Linked DNA regions of Nothobranchius furzeri. The main gene of each other region encodes a partner of the protein of the gene in region 5 in a complex. Links are inferred from orthologs where the notes say so. Each region holds a gene or a part of one and is shown on either strand. Other genes may lie near its edges.

What was found.
Region 1: the proteins of cdkn1bb (region 5) and ccnd1 are in contact, whole or in part, in a crystal structure (PDB 6P8F), measured with the Homo sapiens proteins. The link is inferred for Nothobranchius furzeri from reciprocal best matches to the Homo sapiens genes CDKN1B and CCND1. Residues at the interface, in NP_004055.1 of Homo sapiens: Lys25, Pro26, Ser27, Ala28, Cys29, Arg30, Asn31, Leu32, Phe33, Pro35, Val36, His38, Glu39, Glu40, Leu41, Thr42, Asp44, Leu45, His48, Cys49, Met52; in NP_444284.1 of Homo sapiens: Met56, Ile59, Val60, Trp63, Glu66, Val67, Glu70, Glu92, Lys95, Lys96, Ser97, Arg98, Leu99, Gln100, Leu101, Ile126, Tyr127, Thr128, Asp129, Ser131, Arg133, Glu136, Gln139, Met140, Leu142, Leu143, Asn146, Lys147.
Region 2: the proteins of cdkn1bb (region 5) and cdk4 are in contact, whole or in part, in a crystal structure (PDB 6P8F), measured with the Homo sapiens proteins. The link is inferred for Nothobranchius furzeri from reciprocal best matches to the Homo sapiens genes CDKN1B and CDK4. Residues at the interface, in NP_004055.1 of Homo sapiens: Glu53, Ser56, Lys59, Trp60, Phe62, Phe64, Gln65, His67, Lys68, Pro69, Lys73, Tyr74, Glu75, Trp76, Gln77, Glu78, Val79; in NP_000066.1 of Homo sapiens: Gly18, Thr19, Val20, Tyr21, Lys22, Ala23, Arg24, Asp25, Pro26, His27, Ser28, His30, Val32, Leu34, Ser36, Met75, Asp76, Cys78, Ala79, Thr80, Ser81, Lys88, Thr90, Val92.
Region 3: the proteins of cdkn1bb (region 5) and skp2 are in contact, whole or in part, in a crystal structure (PDB 2AST), measured with the Homo sapiens proteins. The link is inferred for Nothobranchius furzeri from reciprocal best matches to the Homo sapiens genes CDKN1B and SKP2. Residues at the interface, in NP_004055.1 of Homo sapiens: Ala181, Gly182, Ser183, Glu185; in NP_005974.2 of Homo sapiens: Arg294, Asp319, Val321, Arg344, Tyr346, Asp347, Gly369.
Region 4: the proteins of cdkn1bb (region 5) and cdk2 are in contact, whole or in part, in a crystal structure (PDB 1JSU), measured with the Homo sapiens proteins. The link is inferred for Nothobranchius furzeri from reciprocal best matches to the Homo sapiens genes CDKN1B and CDK2. Residues at the interface, in NP_004055.1 of Homo sapiens: Met52, Ser56, Trp60, Phe62, Phe64, Gln65, Asn66, His67, Pro69, Lys73, Tyr74, Glu75, Trp76, Gln77, Glu78, Val79, Glu80, Lys81, Gly82, Ser83, Leu84, Pro85, Glu86, Phe87, Tyr88, Tyr89, Arg90, Pro92, Arg93; in NP_001789.2 of Homo sapiens: Gly13, Thr14, Tyr15, Gly16, Val17, Val18, Tyr19, Lys20, Ala21, Arg22, Asn23, Lys24, Gly27, Glu28, Val30, Ala31, Leu32, Lys33, Thr47, Glu51, Val64, Leu67, Asp68, Val69, Ile70, His71, Thr72, Glu73, Lys75, Tyr77.

What each region holds. Positions count from the first base shown.
Region 1 is NC_091749.1:21,576,476-21,580,422, forward strand, and holds the start of ccnd1 (G1/S-specific cyclin-D1), read left to right. Parts: upstream 1-1,139; 5' UTR 1,140-1,316; coding exon 1,317-1,514; intron 1,515-2,218; coding exon 2,219-2,434; intron 2,435-2,920; coding exon 2,921-3,080; intron 3,081-3,947. UniProt on the Homo sapiens protein: Regulatory component of the cyclin D1-CDK4 (DC) complex that phosphorylates and inhibits members of the retinoblastoma (RB) protein family including RB1 and regulates the cell-cycle during G(1)/S transition.
Region 2 is NC_091743.1:49,241,581-49,245,645, reverse strand, and holds the end of cdk4 (cyclin-dependent kinase 4), read right to left. Parts: intron 2,353-4,065; coding exon 2,243-2,352; intron 1,695-2,242; coding exon 1,644-1,694; intron 1,566-1,643; coding exon 1,430-1,565; intron 1,151-1,429; coding exon 1,049-1,150; 3' UTR 506-1,048; downstream 1-505.
Region 3 is NC_091746.1:70,421,680-70,425,677, reverse strand, and holds the start of skp2 (S-phase kinase-associated protein 2), read left to right. Parts: upstream 1-1,196; 5' UTR 1,197-1,326; coding exon 1,327-1,340; intron 1,341-1,693; coding exon 1,694-1,902; intron 1,903-1,991; coding exon 1,992-2,103; intron 2,104-2,598; coding exon 2,599-2,742; intron 2,743-2,825; coding exon 2,826-2,960; intron 2,961-3,998. UniProt on the Homo sapiens protein: Substrate recognition component of a SCF (SKP1-CUL1-F-box protein) E3 ubiquitin-protein ligase complex which mediates the ubiquitination and subsequent proteasomal degradation of target proteins involved in cell cycle progression, signal transduction and transcription.
Region 4 is NC_091743.1:49,088,349-49,092,629, forward strand, and holds the start of cdk2 (cyclin-dependent kinase 2), read right to left. Parts: upstream 2,805-4,281; 5' UTR 2,663-2,804; coding exon 2,547-2,662; intron 1-2,546. UniProt on the Homo sapiens protein: Serine/threonine-protein kinase involved in the control of the cell cycle; essential for meiosis, but dispensable for mitosis. Phosphorylates CABLES1, CTNNB1, CDK2AP2, ERCC6, NBN, USP37, p53/TP53, NPM1, CDK7, RB1, BRCA2, MYC, NPAT, EZH2.
Region 5 is NC_091744.1:57,771,971-57,776,095, reverse strand, and holds cdkn1bb (cyclin dependent kinase inhibitor 1Bb), read right to left. Parts: upstream 2,700-4,125; 5' UTR 2,434-2,699; coding exon 2,007-2,433; intron 1,877-2,006; coding exon 1,761-1,876; 3' UTR 1,746-1,760; intron 826-1,745; 3' UTR 501-825; downstream 1-500. Other genes in the region: yars2 (tyrosine--tRNA ligase, mitochondrial), read right to left, coding at 3,915-4,074. UniProt on the Homo sapiens protein: Important regulator of cell cycle progression. Inhibits the kinase activity of CDK2 bound to cyclin A, but has little inhibitory activity on CDK2 bound to SPDYA. Involved in G1 arrest. Potent inhibitor of cyclin E- and cyclin A-CDK2 complexes.

The DNA.
Region 1 (3,947 bases), on a different chromosome or scaffold from region 5:
TGTTTGGAGTTGTGTTGTTTTCTTTACCCTGACAACAACAAAGTGAGCCTTGAGGACAGTGGCCAGAGAGGAGGCTCTATTCAGGCATTACGGTAGTGAATCCAGCAGCCAGAGAGGAATTCCAGGAATGCTCAAAGGCTCTGACTCAAATTGAAACTAGACTTGGATCTTCTGAGTTTACACAGCAGCTGTGTCCACGAACAAGTTGGTTCTGATCCAACAAGCTCTCTCACCACTAATATGTTCTACTGGCTGAATAAAGCAGCTCAAAGAGGAACATCTGTGTCTAAAGATCCAGTTCACACTTGGACTGGGTCAACCACCATCACCCAAAACAGGATTCTGCCTGGTAACAGCAGGTCCTCCCATTGGTCCAACCCCTGTGTGTGTGTGTGTGTGTGTGTGTGTGTGTGTGTGTGTGTGTGTGTGTGTGTGTGTGTGTGTGTGTGTGTGTGTGTGTGTGTGTGCGCGTGTGTGTGTGTGTGTGTGTGTGTGTGTGTGTGTGTGTGTGTGTGTGTGTGTGTGTGTGTGTGTGTGTGTGTGTGTGTGTGTGTGGATCTAGTAGGGTTAGGGTTCTGAATGGAGGTCTCATTTTAGTGATGTCACATGTTCTGGACCATGTGGTTCCTGCTGATCTGAACCCAGTAGGGCTCACAGGGAACCTAGCAGAATCCAGTAGAACCAAAACTCCACCAGTAGGTGTGAACTGAACAGAACCAGGGTCCTCTGTGGAACTCAGTACCAGAACTACAGAGTTGGACCAGTACTCGGTCTAGTTTTGGGTCGTGATAAGGTGAGATGAATGAGTTACTCCCCCCTCCTCCTTGTGTCCTCTGCTGTTCATTCACACCGAACCGAACCGGCAGCAGGACAAAGGGGGAGGGTCACTGCCGCCCCCTGCCGCCTGTTGGGCCCGGAGGCCCGGTCCCAGACCTCCCACCTCCTCCTAGGGCTAGAGGGAGGAGGGCTCTTCCTGCTCGCGCGCTTGCAGACCGCTTCTCTTTGATCTCACCTCCTCCCACCGCGGCCCCGCCCCTTAACAACAGCCTACGTCACCCGCCTTTACTTGTTCCCAAGCGAAAAAGCCGTTTGTGTGTGGGCGTACAGACACGCGCGCGCAGGGAGGTGCGCGCGGAGGTTTTGTTCGCCAGAGCGAGGCGGTCCGGACCTCAGAGGACTCGCGCACACCAGAGGGGCAGCAGCACACGGAGCAGCCCTGACACCGGGATTCAAAAATACCAGATAGAAAAGACACCGGGCCGGTTCTAGCAGGACACTTGTACCGAACCGGTTCTCTCTGTGTTCCGAGCCAAACCATGGATGAGCAGCTGCTGTGCTGCGAAGTGGACTCCATCCGGAGAGCCTACCAGGACGTGAACCTGTTGAATGACCGGGTCCTCCGAACCATGCTGCGGGCCGAGGAGAACTACCTGCCGGCTCCGAACTACTTCAAGTGCGTCCAAAAGGAAATAGCTCCTAAAATGAGGAAGATCCTAGCGACCTGGATGCTGGAGGTGAGTTTTGATTGTCCCTGGGAATGGTTCCGGTTCTGATCCGGCTGCCCCATCCAGCTCCGGTTTGGACCCGGTCTGGACTGCCGTACCGAAGGCAGTGAGGTCGAACCGATCCGGATTTACTCCAGAATTCACAGTAATGTACACGTATGCAGTCCGGCCCAGCAGGTCCGGACAGTGCGCCATCTTTGCCACCGACGAGATAGGATTTAAAGTCCGTTAAAACCAGTCAGACATCAGCCAGAACCGAGCCGGACCCACCAGGCTCCACAGAAACCAGACCAACTTCAGTTCCACTGGGTCTAAAACTGTCTTGGTTCCGAACGGCTCCGCTGAGGATGGCAGACCAAAAAAAAAAAACAGTTTTAAAGGATGAAAGGGTACCAAATGGGTCTGAAGGTTCGGCTCAGTGTCTCCGGTGTTCTCACGCGTCTGCAGAAAGACTCGGTCCTATTCTGGTCATTTTTATTCATTTTACAAGCTGCCTGGACCGGTCTGGTCCGGACCCGAACCGAGCACGCGAAGGAGCCTCGTGCCCAAACCCAACAGGTCCCGAGGGGCCGGTGTGTCCGAACGTACCGAGTTCTGGTGATTAAAGTGTGTGTGTGCGTGTGTGAGATAGAGAGAATGTGTGTGTGCGTGCGTGTGTGTGTGTGAGACAGTGCGTGTGTGGAGGACTCACCTGTCCGCTCCTCTCCCTTCAGGTGTGTGAGGAGCAGAAGTGTGAGGAGGAGGTCTTTCCTCTGGCCATGAACTACCTGGACCGGTTCCTGTCCGTGGAGTCCAGCAGGAAGAGCCGCCTGCAACTGCTGGGAGCCGCGTGCATGTTCCTGGCGTCCAAGATGAAGGAGACGGTTCCGTTAACGGCGGAGAAGCTCTGCATCTACACGGACAACTCGGTCCAGCCCGGAGAGCTGCTGGTAAGGGCTTTAGGACCGTGTGGGAGGCTGCTGCAGGCACACCAGCAGATCAGGTGTTTAGAAGAAGAAAAAGTTTCTCATTTAGCAAACATCAAGATAAAGAATCACGAGGCTCTTCACAAGAGCCAACAATAAATACTAATATAGAAAATAAAGTAAACAGGAGAGCCTGAGAGAGACAGAAACACCAGCATGAAAAGAAGCCAGTGAGGAAGAAGAGGAGATCAACCTCATCTTCATCACTAGCATCTTTTTTGAGGTGTCAAAAACCAGAACAAAGGTCACGTCACACTTCACCTGCAAGGTTGTCCTCTCCTCACGTGTGTCCATCCCACCAGAAGGTTGTGGGAGATGGAACAAATAGTGTTCTTCTGGAGCGTCTGACAGGCTTGTCTGGTGGTCTACACTGACCCCTAGTGGCCGAGAGGTGCAGCAGCAGGCAGACGCTGAGTTAACGTCTGATTGGTTGTTCTGGTCCACCCACAGCAGATGGAGCTGTTGGTTCTGAACAAGCTGAAGTGGGACCTGGCTTCAGTCACGCCTCATGACTTCATCGAGCACTTCCTGTCCAAACTGAAGATCCATTTGTCCACAAAGCAGATCCTCAGGAAACACGCCCAGACCTTCGTGGCTCTCTGTGCTACAGGTGGGTGCTGGACGTCAGGATTCAGGAGTGGATCCACACACACACGCACGCACGCACACACACACACACACACTAGTGTTGTCAAAAAAATCGATACCTAGATATAAATTGATACTAAAAGTGGTATCTAAATTAGATATTCCATCCCTGTGGTATCGATATTATGGACTATTATACACAGCCTTCTTCAAGTACACCAACACGCACGACAGCCAGATGCCGTAAAGAAGCCTCCGCCTCCCAGACAAACAGAAGAAGAAGATGCCGCATGGCTACATTGCAATTTCCCACGCGAGTTGTCTCCGATCCAAGTTTTGTCTGCCAAATAATAAACAAAAACATAAACAGCGAATTTGGGAGGCGCTTCACAGCCCAACTTCATTAGCATACCAAGTCCGACACGTAGTTGTATATTCACGCTTATGTGCTTAAAGGAAAACTCCCATTTATTGCAACCCGGACTTAATTTCTAGCATGCAGTACGTTTGTTTACTCACGCTGACAACTTTGGTGCTACTTGGATTCTCCGGGGTATTTAGATCCATCGGCAAATCGCCATCAGCGTATATCCATATAACGGGTGCGGACGGGCACCCATGGTGCAGCCTTGAAATAAGACATTATCTGCACCAAAACATCTCTATGTCGAAAGGTTTAGTTAGGAATCATTAACATGATTCCCCTGTTCGTTTGGAGCGGGTCTAGGATTTCTAGGCGTGAACAGACTAGCCGCGGCTAATCTAACCGGTGCTTTTAATTACGTCACTGCTGTGCGCCAATCTGTTTTTATTAAGATTACCGGTAGATGTACCTTTGTCCTACTGTGGAGAAATTCGTTTTCTCCCTTTATTGACCAACAGAGTTGTT
Region 2 (4,065 bases), on a different chromosome or scaffold from region 5:
CGATTTGGCAGCAATGGTGGGGGGTGGCACGGCCCTCAACATGCTATAACATGCAGATGCGGCTGGCCCTGGGTTCCTTCTAATATAAGACAACGCTAGACCTCATGTGGCTGGAGTGTGTCAGCAGTTCCTGCATGATGCTATGGACTGGCCTGCCTGTTCGCCAAACCTGAATCCAATTGAGCACATGTGGGACATCATCATACACGGACTGCCCAGGCAGTGGAGGATGCTTTAGTCCAGATCTGAGAGGAGATCCCTCAGACCATCCACCACCTCACCACGTGGAGGCCACACACACACTACTGAACCTCATTTTGACTTGTTTTAAGGACATTACATCAAAGTTGGATTTGCCTGTAGTGTTTTTACACTTTAATTCTGATTGTGGCTCCAAATACAAACTTACATGGGTTAGAGAACAAAGTATATTTCATCTGTTCAGATAGAGGATGTTTTATTTTTATAGACAGTCATCTGTAAAACACAACAAACTGACCCAGAATTATTGAATACTTTCTTTTATTCATTTCAGATTTCAGTGTGTGGTGTTTAGTGACATTTGAAGGTGTGAAATTCATTCCACAAAAAACTTTTGTGCAATAACTCAAAAGAAATTCCAATTTTTTAAGCTTTTGTGCGTTTATCTGTAACTGTTTGAAACTTCATTTAAAATGTTCATGATTCAGATACAGCCACTCACATTATAGACAGCGAGCAGCTTCAACACGGGTTACAGCTGTGTAAGACAAACATCACTAACCTATCTGGAGAATGTACGGCAACAAAAGCAGCATTTAAACGAGACATTTCTGCATGTTGACTCCAAGACTAAACATCAAAATCACTAGTGCTGCCCTTTAACTGCTGCTATAACATCTTTACATGTGACTTGTACAAGCTCAAAAACATGGCAGTGCTCATCAAATTCATCCTCACAGAGTTTCATCCTGATTTCTGAAGCAGGATCAACTAAGAAATATTCCCTAAACATAATCTGTACTCAGAGGGCGCTGGATCCTGTTGGTTCTTTTTCTACTGCATGATTTCAACTGGTTGTCTGAGGCGACGTCTCCTCATCCTGGAAATACAGATGTTCTAGAGCGTTCAGCGCTGATATTCGCTTCAAAGGGTCAAAGGTCAGCATTTGCTGTGGAGGAAAGAGAACAGGCAAAAAATAGATTTTATTTTTTTTTTTTACAGTCATTTGGTTGACAACATTCCCCCCACACATGGTTAGCTGTGACACTTTCTGCAGGAAAATATTTCTGTGTGATTTCTTTTCTACATTATATTTTCATATTTCTTTAATAATGTGCTGAAAAGTCATGCATCTGTACGATTCTGCTTTAGTTCAGGAAAGCCCGGGGGTCCGGGGCGTTGGCAGGTGAGAAAAGAATCGGCCTTCAGTTGTTAACTCAAGTCTTACCATCAACAGTTTGGCCCCCTGCTCGTTTATCTCTGGGACAAAGTCGGTGATCGGGCGAGCTTTGACAGCGGGAAAGTTTTTCCTCGACACGGTGACGCCGGTCGGCCACTCCTCCTCCTGCGGCAAGCCGATAACTCTGAAAGCAGATGAGTGAAATGAATGATTTGCTTGGTCGTTCTGGTTGCTGATGTTCCGCTAAGTCTTTGTTACTCACTCAAATATTTTCCCAAGCTGGTCCATTTCTGATTCTCCACAGAATAAAGGTCTTAAAAAACAAAACGATACATGTAAAATTAGTTACGTAATTTTTATTTTAATCATCTAAAACAAATACAGTTCTTCAACCCTGTTGGCTGCTGATGTCATGCTGTTTTCCACCACTAGATGGAGCCACTCTGCACACATCACACATAAACTTCATATCTTCTAGGTACGTCCACCCAGGCTGCTCCCAGACTAAACTCCAGCTGTCAAAATCTGTAAAACTATGTCCCTGAAAATCATCAGCCTGAAATCAAATGCTGACATCCTAGAAAACGTTGATCTCCGGGCTTGTTTGGAAGAGGATGCAGAGCTTTTTTCCTTCCCTTTTTTTTTAAATTCTAAATTTAGTCTAAAAGGCAAATCATCATCAGAAGTTGGGTTATAAACTAGAACTAAGTCTTTAAAAACAAACGGGTTTCACAGATAATCATTCTATCGGATTTCCAGACCGCTCATCTATCAGCTGGAAACATCCCAGTCGTAGCAAACCGCTAAACCCGAGTTGACAGAAGATCAGATACCGGTGATCTGAACGTTATGTTGACTCACTTGCGTCTGAACATCTCAGCAAAGATGCAGCCGGTGCTCCATATATCCACCGGAGTGGCGTACGTGGACTGCAGCAGAACTTCAGGAGGTCGGTACCACAGCGTCACCACCTCCAAGAGAGCCAAACGCAAGACTGGCATTAGTAACAGCACAAGCTTCGCTTCATCTAAGCCAACCTTCACATACTCGAGCTAAACACACGGTGTGTACGCATGAAGCAGAGTTTTGCTTTCGATGTGAGCCTGGTAAACGTCAGCTGATGAATCTGAACGCTGAACTCCTGAGGAGAGCACGCCGGTGCCTCACTGGGCTGCAGATGTGGCTGTTTACAGTCATTCATCAAACCCTTACGAGAAAAAGCAGCGTTCACTGACAACAATGTAAGATGTAGTTGATAGTGCTCTGTGACAGTATTACTAAGCAACCGGTTAAAATTCACTAAAAAATGATGCTAGCAGGCCAGAAACGTAAAGATGCAGAAGTGAGCACATTTCAGCAGGATGTGTTGGTTGAAAGTGAAAAACTAAATAGATCCTGAGTAGAAACAGCCCACTGTGTTAAACACCTTCCTGATGAGCCTTCCTACATAAACCAGAATAGATGTTATACTAGACATTTGATTGTTCTTTTGTTTCATGCTGCTACTTTTGTTATAATCTATAATCCCTAAAACTCTGTAAAGCCAGGCCTGCTGTGTGATTTTCTGCTCATTTTGAGCCAATTTTCCACCCATGCAACAGTCTTTGAGGTCAGGTCGAGTTTTGTGTCGTGTAGTATAGAAGGGGTTACGAGAGGCGGTTAAGACCCCCCGACCAGCTCCCAATCGCACGAGAATCAAGCATATTTAAATTTCTGCTGATCCCTTGTGAGGGTATGACACCGCTGAAGCTGCACCGCGACCCAAATGTACCAGAACCGCTCACACAGCGCACGCGCCAAAATGTCTGGCCAGCCATATTCATCTCCACACACGTTTCCACCTTTTACTTACAGTTTTCTCTGCACATGTTAATGTTAAGAAAGCACCTTTTGTATTCATGTCAAGTAAAAGCAGATCCCAAAACCTCGGTTTAGTTCCTACATGCCTTTCATTCTTCCTCTACTTCTATTCCCCATAAACCCCTGCGTGTCCTCCCACAACTACGGCAGGCCTCAAGGACAACAGACATCAATGACGGCACAACAGTCTCCTCTCTTTCAGGTTTCTGGATTCACAGGTTCGACCCGTTGAGAAAAAAACTCTTAAAACACATTCTTTGGACCGGCGTGTTACTACCACAACAGTGCGAGCGGTCAGAGCGTGAGAACATGACTCGTGGCTGTGCCCTGTGAACAGTGTCAGATGACGAACAACCAACGAAAAAGTCGCACAGTGTACGCCCTGTATTCGCCATCTTGTTTTTTCTGTCATTACCCAAAGCTCATGACTACAGGTGAGGACTGGGATCAAGACCGGCAGGTAAACTGAGAGTAGAGATGCACTGATGTGACATTTTTGGGCCGATACCGATATTAATATCACTGTTAGGGCCGATATCGATATACTGACATTAATGCTTCTAAAATCAGCAGATTTTGTAAAGACTGAATATTATTAAAGCTGAATTTACATTATTATGTACACACACACACACACACACACACACACTTACTCTACTGAGATGATTGCAATCACTGTCACTTGACTAAAATACACAGCACCCCCTCACCCTCTGAAACTGATAAACAAATGGAAACAAGATGGAAAAAAATACCAGTTAATATCGACCTAGTTTTATTTATCGGACCGATACAGATATGTTAAAAAATGGCCGATACCGATA
Region 3 (3,998 bases), on a different chromosome or scaffold from region 5:
GCCTTGGTGAAAGCTACAGGTGACTGGTTAACATGTGTAACTGCATGTCCAGACTGTCCACACACAGAGCAGTAGGGGCGGGGAAGAGGGAGGATCAGACTCAGACAGACACACAGCAGAGCACCTGCGGGTGGAGGGAGACAAGAGGCAATGAGGAGGACGAAAAAGGCGAGCGAGAGGGAGGAGAGTGCGACGAAGACGGTGAGAAAATGAGCGCCAGCAGTCGGAAAGTGGAGATTTCTTAGTGTTCAGTTATTAAATCCATAGAAATTATAAACATTTGACATATTGCTTTTTTAACATTAGTAAATTATTTTACATATACGGTAGTTTAGCATTATTTTGGTTATAAATGTATTCTACGCAACAGAAAATCTGAGGAGCCACTTGGGAGCCGAAAGAGCCGGCTCTTTTTGGTGAGCTGAGCCAAAAGTACCGGCTCTCGAAAAAGAGCCGGAATTCCCACCACTAGATAGAACCTCAAACTAAACCCAGACATGTTTGGACTTGTAGTAACTTGCTTGTTTGTTTTTTGTTTATATTTCTATGTTTTTGTATCTGACTGTTTTTCATTTGTACATTGTAAATTGTTTTATTTAGTCATCCTGTTGAGGAACTGCAGATGTAAATTAGCAATTGTGCTATAATCTGGCCTCTTTACAATGGATACAACGTATGTGATTGTTATTAATGCGCACTGTCCCGAATAAATAAATAAATGAAATGATCGACCACCATCTCCGAGAAAGAGAGGATCACAAGCACAAACTGAAAATAAACGAGTGCGTCTGGCACCAGAAATAAGGGCGCTAGAGTCGAACACCTTGTGTATTAAAACATTTTCACACACTGCAGGTGAGGCCTCGAAGATGGGGACATTTAAGGCAGCTTTCACTAGATTCAAAAGAACACGTATTTGTTTTACCCATTTCTGATAATTATGTAGACGGTCTCTTAACATTGGGAAGGATGTGCAACCCATGCAGGGGGTTGTGGGACTAATATTATAGCATCAGCTGCTCCACTATTAAGTAAAATGACTATAAATAAGCCGATAATGATATGTTTGGTTGATTTGGTCATATTTTGGTGTGTCTGGTTGCTGCTTTGCTTATTAAATTATTAAAAACCAGAACATTTCTACTCCCAGGCGCTAGGGGGCGGTGAAGCCGGTGCGTGATGACGTCACGTCTTTTTACGTAGTAAAAACAAGGCGCGTGTGAGTTGGTGGCGCGTTTAAAGAGTCCAGTTTGGAGAGTAAAGAGAGAAACGCGAGGATTAGAAGTGCATTTTCCCGGATTAGGGTTATTAATCTGAAGCGGAAGGATGTCTCAACACAGGTTTGATGCTTAACTACATTTAGTTCCTGTTTTCTGTCTTATTCGCTTATTTAAACCAAGAAAATGAAACAAGTCGATGATCCGATTAAAATAATCCAGTTAAATAAACGGATCACTTAATCTGATGTCGGACTACTGGGGTTTCCTTTCTAAACTGCTGGTTTGATCATTTTATGCAGATTATTTTTAATGGTGTTTAAAAGCAGCTCTCCCAGTGGTTCTAGCGGTGGGACTTTGCGCGACCTGTCATCATCCTGATGGCGGGCTGGGGGCGGGGGGGTGGGGGTGGGGAGAGTCTTCCTCAGGATGAAGGTCCGGTTCTGGCTGATCAGACCCATCTTGTCCACCTGCAGCCGGACCCTGATGCACCTGCCCTGCTCCAGCCTCCGGAACAAACGGTCCCGGACCTGCCTGGCTGAGGGTCCGGACTCTGAGTGCACCCCCACAGAGTCCATCCAGCAGAGACCACCGCCTCTCAAGGTCCCACTGCTCCTCCCCAGGGGCAAAGAGAACGAGTTTGTGCTGGCCCGGAGGTCCCGGAGGAGGAAAAGCTCCAAGTCAGGTAGGAGAAACCCCCCCACCCCCCCACGCTTCCATCTGGCTGCCTTCAGAAACCTTAAACCTCTCTGATTGGCTGGTTTCTCTCCTCAGGTGTTTCATTGGATCATCTACCTGAGGAGCTGCTCCTGAGGATCTACTCTTGCCTCCCCTTGCATGACCTGCTGAGGATTTCTGGAGTCAGTAGGCGCTGGCAGCGTTTGGCGTAAGAGATCCTGCTGGACCGCACACACACACACACACTCAGAAAACCCAGCTGTGGTTAGGGTCGGGGCTTCTCCAGGGGGTCCCTGATAAGTCCCTGCTTGACCAATCGCACCTGTTCACTCGAGGATTTGTCGCTAACACCAACGATGCTCAGGTCAAGTTCTCGTGCGTCTGCGGGCAGACCCTGTTAATGGATGCTAGATAAGTGAGCATCTTCCCCCAGATGGAGCAAGAATTATTCATTCATGCCAACGAGCACTACAGAGAACTAGAACAGAGCACCGGCTGTTTGATTAGAGCCGTCTTCCTGGAGGCGTTTATTTAGTTTATGTGTTTCCATGGCAACGCCGGAAGTCCGCTTCCGTTCTGTTTCTCCTCGTATTTCATTTGAGTTTCCATCAGTGGGGCTTTGGGCGGAGCAGCAGAGACATGCAGGTGACCTTTGGGCTGGAGGGGATCAGGATCCGGTTCTGAGGTAATCTGTGTGTTTCAGGTCCGATGAGTCTCTGTGGTACAGCGTGGACCTGGAGGGGCTGACCCACGTGGGCCCGGCTCTGCAACAGGTTCTGAGGACCGGGGTCCGCCGGCTGCGCTGCCCTCGAGCTTTTGTAGAGGAACAATACCTGACCGACTCTCGGTGAGTCCGACAGCCCGGATTGGGGTCCGGTCCCAGCAGCAGGTAGAACCCCCCTGATAATGGGTTCTGTTCTGTCCTTCCAGCCCGCTGCAGATCGTTGAGTTGGACCTGTCCAGCTCTATCATCCCGACCTCGACTCTCCAGAACATTTTGGGTCGCTGCAGGCTGCTGCACCACCTGAGCCTGGAGGGTCTGCAGCTCTCCAACAGCATCATCAGGTCTGACTTGTACCGGGTCAGGATTTGGTCTGATTGGTTCTGGTTGTTTCAGACATGAAAATCCCTCACGTAGGGTCACAGCGAGGCCAGCTTTCCCAGTTCAACCAGTTCCAGTATTATCCACTGGAGGACATACTCATGAGCCCCCCCGACACCACCAACAGTAGTGGAAATAAGTCCATCTGAACCGGCGACGCGCTCGAACGCAGCTCATCTGAACCGGCGACGCGCTCGAACGCAGCTCATCTGAACCAGCGACGCTTGAACACAGCTCATCTGGACCGGCGACGCTCCAATGCAGCTCGTCTGGACCAGCGACGCGCTCGAACGCAGCTCGTCTGAACCGGCGACACTTGAACACAGCTTGTCTGGACCGGCGACGCTCCAATGCAGCTCGTCTGGACCAGCGACGTTCGAACGCAGCTCGTCTGGACCAGCGACGCTCGAACGCAGCTCGTCTGGACCAGCGACTCGCTCGAACGCAGCTCGTCTGGACCAGCGACGCTCGAACGCAGCTCGTCTGAACCGGCGACACTTGAACACAGCTCATCTGGACCGGCGACGCTCCAATGCAGCTCGTCTGGACCAGCGACGCGCTCGAACGCAGCTCGTCTGAACCGGCGACACTTGAACACAGCTTGTCTGGACCGGCGACGCTCCAATGCAGCTCGTCTGGACCAGCGACGTTCGAACGCAGCTCGTCTGGACCAGCGACGCTCGAACGCAGCTCGTCTGGACCAGCGACTCGCTCGAACGCAGCTCGTCTGGACCAGCGACGCTCGAACGCAGCTCGTCTGGACCAGCGACACGCTCGAACGCAGCTCGTCTGGACCAGCGACGCTCGAACGCAGCTTGTCTGAACCGGCGACGCTCGAATGCAGCTCGTCTGAACCAGCGACGCTCAAACGCAGCTCGTCTGGACTGGCGACGCTCAAACGCAGCTCGTCTGAATCGGCAACGCTCGAACGCAGCTCGTCTGGACCGGCGACACTCGAACGCAGCTCGTCTGGACCAGCGATGCTCGAACGCAGCTCGTCT
Region 4 (4,281 bases), on a different chromosome or scaffold from region 5:
ATGAGTAAAACGCAAAATGCTTTTCATGTCACGCAGCTGCTCTCCTCATATCCCAAATGGTCCCGATGGTTGTTGTCACTGCTTCTGCTGCATGCTCGCGTTCATTTTCGCTTTTGTTTTCGTCCTAACGGCTCACGCCATATTGTCTTTTTATTGTTTTTATAGATGGTGTTGGATACGTCTGTACGGGGAGTTAACCGAGGTTAACAGTCAAACCGGTTAATCCCTGCAACCCTAACCTCGAACGGATTAAATTATGGCGTACTTTGACGGAATAAAAATTTTAAAGGTGCATTATGTAGAAATGAAGTCAAAATTTTATCCTGTGCTTTTTGCCGGCAGTTGTCAAATTACAACTGTCGGCGCTGCGGTATTAGCTTGCAGTAGATATGGCACCCCCTCACTCACTGATGGTAAACAGTAGTTACGACCCTCCTTTTGTTTTGAATGGAGAAAAAGTGGCAATCCCCACAACCAGCTGGATATGAAATATGTTTCAGTGTAACCTTTCTTCCAAAATGACTGAAACATTAGACTCTTTTGGGACTTTCTCACTGTAAAATTCTTACTATATTCTTACACTTTTAAAATGTTTTAATTGTCTATGGACGCGCTGATCAGTGACGTCACTCATTGCAAACATGCTGATGATATGCTGACGTATTTGCAAAGTCCTGAAAAGGCTGATTTTGTACAGACACAACGGCTGAAAACACTGATCCATTGTGTTTTCCTGGAACTTCAATAGTGGAAACATGGCTATCGAGTACGCTAAATGATCCCACACAGCAGCAGATGGTGCCTTTGCTAGTTTAAGGTCAAATTCAACAATAAGAAAGAGATGAGACAAAAAAGCCTCTATGGGACAGTTCCGTAAAACATCTCTGGTGACCACACAAAGACCCATCTCACCGTCTCCAAAGAGCATCTTGATGATATTTTAGAAAGTGGAACACTTGTTTAATCAATGCATTTTTGTAGTAGTCTCTAGTACTAATAAATGACGAGTAAGTTGTTTGCAGGGGGAAGAAATATCCCAGTGCACCATTCTTCTGACCTAAAATTTGCCCACATCACAGCAGACCTTCTGATGGCAGGATTTGGAGTCTTTTTCCTGATATTTGGACATCTCACTCCGGATCGGACAACAGCAATGCAACTCGACCACTGATTTGCAACATAGACATTTTATCTCCACAAATAACACAAGGCTGGAGGAACTTCGGCTGTGTGGTGGCATTGCTAATGCTAAAGGTTAGCTTGAATTAGCTGAGAAGTTCTCTGCTGTTTCCTGGACACTAGAACAAAAAATTTACTGGACACTAATCCAACAACACCCAAGATGGGTGAGTCCATGAATGTTATTCAGTGTGACGTAGATCTGTCAGGCTTTTCTAATTCTAGTTTCACCGTCTATTTTCTATCAGAAGCTAATGCAGGAGAAAGGTGTGGGAGACTATTTTCATGTTCAGTCTGCATGAAAAACTCAGTAACCATAATCAGGAAAAACATATTTAAAATGGTTTTTCAGTCAACAGCATCTTTGAGACTTTTTTGAAAATATTCTCTGGAGTGGTGAGACTATTTTGGTGAAAAACTAACTTCAGAAACACATCAATATACCAACAGTCAGACACGGTGGTGGCAGAGTGATGGTCTGGGGCTGCTTCAGGACCTTGACCACTTACTGTAATTGATGGAACCATGACTTCAAACATGTCAACCCACTCGTTTGGCTGGAATAAAACAATGTCAAAAAAATGTGGTCTAGGAATCCTTCACAGCAATGTAAGCCTTGTTATTAGTTCTCACAGATGCTTGATGGATGTTTATGCAGCTAAGGGTGTTGATTGGTTGTTTGTTTCCTTAATAAATAAATTAAATCATCATTTGAAAACTGCTTTCTGTTTTTACTTTGATCATCTCTGGTATTTGTGTTGGAAGACATCGATAAGGATCCAAATGCTTTTTTCAGAGTGCTGAAGTTTGGGTATGTTGGTAGTTTGACAGCTTGAGATACTGAAAGGTACCCTCCTACAGCAGCAAAACTATAAAACATGTCCATTCAACTAATAAATCAACCAAAGGAATGAAACAGAATAGCATTCAATGTAGAGTCAGAAAACTACTTCTGATCACTCACTAGTAACATCTGATCGTAGACTAAAACACAAGACAATGAAAAATTCCCTTAAATAGTTACATATTTCACTTGCTCAGACGCTTTTACCCAAAGCGACTTGCAAAAAATTGTAAGTCGCTTTGGGTAAAAGCGTCTGCTAAGCACATAAGCATAAACATAAACAAACATATCCAGCTAACCTACAGGGTTATATCCAAGGATGCTACGTCACTTAGTCCTGTGTGGAGGTTATATTAGGCACTGAATAATTACAGTTTAACGAGAAACGCTTATTTCTGTTGTTGCAGGAAGTGGGCAGACGATCACCAGCCACGAGGTCGTGGATAAAAAAAAAATCTGAAGCATTAGTGGATGTTTTTAGCGCGGCGTTAGCTCTGGAGATAACTCCTGCCTCTTAACTTACGTGTCCAGGCGGATTTTCTTCAGAGCAACAGTTTCTCCGGTCACTTTATTCTTGGCTTTGTACACCACTCCATACGTCCCTTCTCCTATCTTCTCCACTTTCTGAAATGAGTCCATTTTGCTTACAAGAGCGGGACTGTTTAAAGTTTAGCTGCTTAGCAATACTGGTCTCTTTGTGTGCGCGCTAGCAGCAGCAGCGACAGCGGCTCGGTGGCTACAGAGGGGCGATGTTAAGGAGCAACGCGGGGACAAACCGACACTAACCGCCGCCCCGGCTCCCTTCGGCCAGTCCGGAAACAGCCGAGCGGGAGATAGGGGGTTCGTGTAGAAGATGAAACGCTCTCAGATCAAACGACAACACAAAAACAGGTATATGGGCATGTGTGCCCAGCCTCGATAGTAATTATGTGGATTAATTCAAAAGGGGAGCGCGACGGTCGCAGCTCAGTCCACAAAACTGAACCAACACAGCGGCGTTTCCCGCGTTGTAAGAGGAGCGTTCGTTTTTGACTTCATGATACACCGATTATTTCGAATGGGTGGCACTGTACTCTTTATTTTATTGCTTATCTTGCAGTGTTCTCACAGGGGACCGCTATGAATGAATCCAACGCTTTAGATTAGATAAAAATGTTCACAAAAGTACTTCTGGTGTTTGTTAAATTTAACGTGTTGTTAGAAATCACCAGAAGTTGGGATGAGACGGAGACACTAAATGAGCAGCCCTCACTGGTCACATGATCAAAATGGATGACGTACCCTGACGTCATCTTAGAGGGATGTGGAGTGCTTTTGTTTGTAAAAAATGTGTTTATAAAATTATTTTCTTGTCAATTAGATCTAATTTCACAAACATTAATTCCATTTTAGCCTACCATCATATAAGTTTAAAGTTGCCATTGTTAGTTTTTTAAACATTTAATTAATTTCTTTACCTTAGAACAGGAGTCCTCAACCAAGTTTGGTCCTGAGGTTTTTACAGTAGACGGGCCAGATGCACTCTAAAATAACTAAAAGCATTATTGTATCTTAATTTATCAATAATTTAAATGACTTTGTTTTCCACCTAAACTGTCTTCATTGTAGTTTTAGTTGTGGTTGGAGAATGTAAACAATTATTGGGGGGGGGGGGGGGGGGGGGGGGGGGGGCAAAGAATTGGGACTACAGCCCTGCACAGGCCTAAAATCTGAGCCCGTGTCCGCCCGGCCCGAGGGGGTGGAGCCCCAGCCCAAACCAGTCCGAAAAAGTTTTCAGGATTCTCTGGCCCAACCCGAGCCCGAGGCCGACTTTTTTTCTTTAACCTTTCATGATGTTTTAGCGTGATAGAAGGCTCAGCATTCTAATTATCTGTGGGAAGCGTTCCGTAGTAAAAAAAAAAAAAAAAAAAAAGAAAGGAAAGAAAGAAAAACAGCATTCAATGCAGCTTTTTTTTCTAACAGCGTATTTTTCGAGCAGCAGATGAAATTTACGAACACTATATTAATTGGATGCGTTTGTAAATTTTATCTGCTCTGAAAATGCGCTCTTGTGCAATTAGGAAAAAAAAAGCAGCATTCTAATTTTCTAACTGCAGAGCACATTTTCAGAAACACCCCCAATTAATATAGCGTTTGTAAATTTAATCTGCCACTCTGAAAATGCGCTCTCCAACCCAGTAGTGAATGCTGTATTTTTTTTTTACTGCAGAGCGAATTTATTAACAGAAAAATAGAATGCTGCCATTTTCATGAGAATA
Region 5 (4,125 bases):
AAGGAAACACTCGAACATTAAAACGTAGCTGAGGCGCACAGAAAAACTTCAAAAAAATTGTTTCATAATATTCCAGGACTCTGATGCTAAAAGCACCTCGATTAAAAAATAAATATCAGAAAATCTTAACAGAATTTTTACATCTCCTCGTCGTTTAGACGAGTCCAGCCCTTTGCAGGGAGGCGCTGTAATAAATGAAAAAACAAATTAAATTACGATACGTGAGCTACATTTGTACCATTCTTCACTGCTGCATTAGGAAGCTGACGGAGTGAAGGAACACTACAGAAACGGTGAGAAGCCATGATTTTTTCTTTTTAAGTGTAGCAATTAAGGACAGTGGCAAATGTCACACAGTCTGGAAATAAAAATAAAAAACAGCATTTTGGAAACCATCACTGCAATTCTTCAAGTCAAATGAAAATTCACAACTTTTTACAAAAAGGATTGGATTTAGAATTAAGTTCCTTATGTGCTACACATGGAGACATATTTATACCTATATATATATATATCCATCTTTATTAATTTATTTACACACAGGTAGTAACAAAACGAGCAAAAAAGGGAAATAAAACCTAATTGCACACTGCTACATCGACTGCTGTTAGAGGCAGTAACTTATTTTTAATTGAGTGCCACAACTTTAGTGTTTCTATTCAGTGCTTCAACAGCGTCCTCCTCAGTCCTCAGAAGAGCCGATATGTTTCTGATGCTGCGCAGATCCTCATCCCCAAAAAGCCAACAAACAGTCAGGCCTCCAAAAAAATAAAATAAAAGATGCATATAAAAAACAACACCCTCGCAAAAAAAAAAATGCTCGAACTGTGTGGAGAAGGTGGGAAAAATAAGAAAAAAAAAAGGTTAGTATTAACATTTTTGAAAAATCATCTTTTAACAATTCATGGAAAAAGTTTCACTTTAATTATTTTTCATAACTAGACTGTTTATTTCAAGTGTGCACCCCCTATCAGTTTCCTATTTTTAAAAAGACTAACAAGGTTAAGCTAAACTGACCTGTTACACACACACACACACACACACACACACACACACTTATGAAACTAACAGCTATTTTGTCTTTTAGTGCAGTTCTTTCATCATATTTTATAATAAAATCTTTCAAGGATTTACTTTTGAACAGAAAAACATCCTCATATTGAATCACACCCGGTTATTGTTCAAATTTCTGTGCTAAAAAGAAACATTGATGTAAGTGTTCTCATCTGCAGCCTAAACAGGTCCTAAACCACTGTGAGGAAGATCTCATCGTGCCCATCCCTCCTCCCTTTACTTGAATTCGGACCTGCGGGTCTCCTCAGCACACTCCTCTGCCTGCAGGGACAGCGTGCGTGCGTGTGTGTGTGTGTGCGTGCGTGCGTGTGTGTGTTCAGAGACCAGCCCCTTCTCTGCTCTGCTCCGAGGGCAGTGGCTGCTGACGTGTTACTACTACACTGTTGTTCAGCCCTTGTTTACAGTTTAGTAGAAAAGCTGCAGCAGTGAGACGTTAAAGCCTTTTTCTCTCGGCAGAGTTGATCTCATTGTGATTAAATGAATATAAAATGTTGAAATGGTTACTAGAGTCCAGCATTTTACTTACTGAAGATAAAATAAGCGTGCAGCACCGTTAAAGCTACTCGATAATATGTGGAGAGAACGTGTTATATAACCTGCTGTGGCTCAGATCACAGCTGAGGAACAGAAGCTACATGCGGTTATTGTATACGGATGAGTTTAAGCCTCACCGTTTTCTCTCGGGCTCACGTCTGTCTCTTGGGACTGGGCTTTCTGGGTGTGTGTTCTACTGAGTGGCTCAGGTTCGGACAGCTAACCTCGTCTGGGCTGGTATGGGACCTCTTGTTTTGGGTCGGAGGCTCTGCGAACAGCAAAGAAATTCTGTCAGGGAAACTCGGAGCAAAAACACAAGAAGAGGGTTATAGATGTGCTTCCTGTCGGGTGAAAGCCGAGCTCCGGCTCTAAAACCTGATTAGATGCAAATGTAGTACCGTGACTAGCAGGTCTCTTCCTCAGCCCGGTGCACTCCGTTTGACCGTCGGGCTTGCTGGTATCCCCGCTCGACGCCACCAGGACGCAGTTATGGTTCCCGTTTAGATCCACACTGGTGCTCCTGGGGCAGACGCCCTTCTCCCTCCGCGGCTGCCGGTGGTAGAAGTCCGGCATCTCCTCGGAATCCACTAGTTCCCATTTGAACCTGCCGTTGCTCAGTGGCGTGTCACTGGCGAAGTCGAAGCCCCACTTGGCAGCGGCAGCCTCTTTGAACTCCCGCATGTGTTCGTTAAAATCCTTCTTTAACTCTTCGTGATCCACCGGGCCGAACAGACTTCTGCAGGCAGACGGCTTCGGGTGCTCCGACACCCGGGCCTCCGTCCGCTCCAACGTCGGACTCCCGTTTGAAACTCGAACATTAGACATTTCCCCTCCCCCCAATAAACACGCTATTTTCAGTCAGCCGGGAGCGTCCAGCTGTCATAAGAAAAACACGTCGCTGAAAAAAAAATACAAATAAAAAACAACAACAGCGGTATCTCCAGGTCACGGGGGAAAGATCCGACGCAGCTCTACACCTATGCCATGCATACGTCGAAGTGGAAGACGTTAACTGCTGCGGGGCTCTGGAGTCGAAGATGGTCTCCGAGAATCATCAAAACAAAGTGCACAGGAACTGAGGACGCTGTCAGTTTCGCTCCGCTCAGAGAGAAACTGCAGAGAAACCTCAGCACCCAATATGGCGATTGAGGAGCAGAGCAGTGGTGGGGACTGAGACGGGAGGGGGAGGGGCTTATGATTGACACACAGAGCTATTTAAACCCGGCAAAGGACGCTCATTGGTTAAGCGACACCTGGCCCCACCTACTTTATTTAAAGTGACAGTAGGCGTGTATGAGTGGGGAAGTCGGCTCATATTTTTCCATCACGTTTTACTAAAATAAATATTTATGTATGCTTCTTAAAAATAGAAAACGTATTTTTGTGTAAATGACTACATCACACAAGCTTTATAGTTACACATCTAAAAAAAATACTAAATTTACAGGTAATTTGCAAAGGAGTCAAAACCATTATTTTTCTAAACATCTTCAGTGTGCATTACTCTGTTTTTAATAGTTGATTTATTCTAAATATAAGTATTAACCAAATATTTACCAAATTTAAAAAAAAAATCCAGCATCATAAAGCAACACACGTATGCCAAAGACACACTACAACGGAGTGTAAAACAAAACTAATAAGCCAAGAACCTGCAGAAATCAAACCTGCCGTGGGTCGAGCATTGGTTTTTACATCGCAGCTGAAAAAATTCACAATTTCACATAAAAGTCAGCATGCACTCCCAAAAGAGAGAATTACATCATTATATATATATAATACAAATAATTTAAGGTAGTTTCTTTTTGTCAATGACTGCATGAAAACCTTTTTTCTCCTTTTGTTACTTTTTACACAAACTGACAGAAAATAAAACACCAGACGTAAGGCTGATTTTGGCCTCATGTTCCAAAATAAAAGTGCAGTGTTTAAACTGTTTTGTGAGAAATGATGCAATGTACTTTTACTGGAAAAAATGTTTACTTAAAAGGGTCACAGCAGGATAAGTGGTGCAGATGAGGCCGGCTACAGCCAGCCATTAAAACAATAGCGCCATCTTGTGTTCACTTGACTAAACTATTGCAGCACAAAATCAGCAAGAAACCAATCTTATCAAATACTTTAATACCACACTTTTAAATAAGCATCACAGCTATGCATTTACATATTTATATGTCCATAAAAACAAATACTTATAAAGTAAAAGTCCATCAAAATCTTCTCACTGACTGCCAAAGTATTGCTGCCTACCTTCGTCATCAGTCATTACAGTTTAGTTTAGTGCCTTCATTCTCAATCAGGGAGTGTCAGAGGCCGAGCCACTTGATGATGTAGAAATTCCTTTTTCCTACTTTGAGCAGCGTGAGTCCATTAGTCAGGATGTGGACTTTGGGGATCAGCACCTGCTCTGGATGGTCAGCCCGTTTGTGGTTAATCGAGATTGCCCCCTCTGAAACCATCCGATACCTGCCAACATAAACATGTATGATTAAGACTCTGGGTTAAAGGAGAATGACC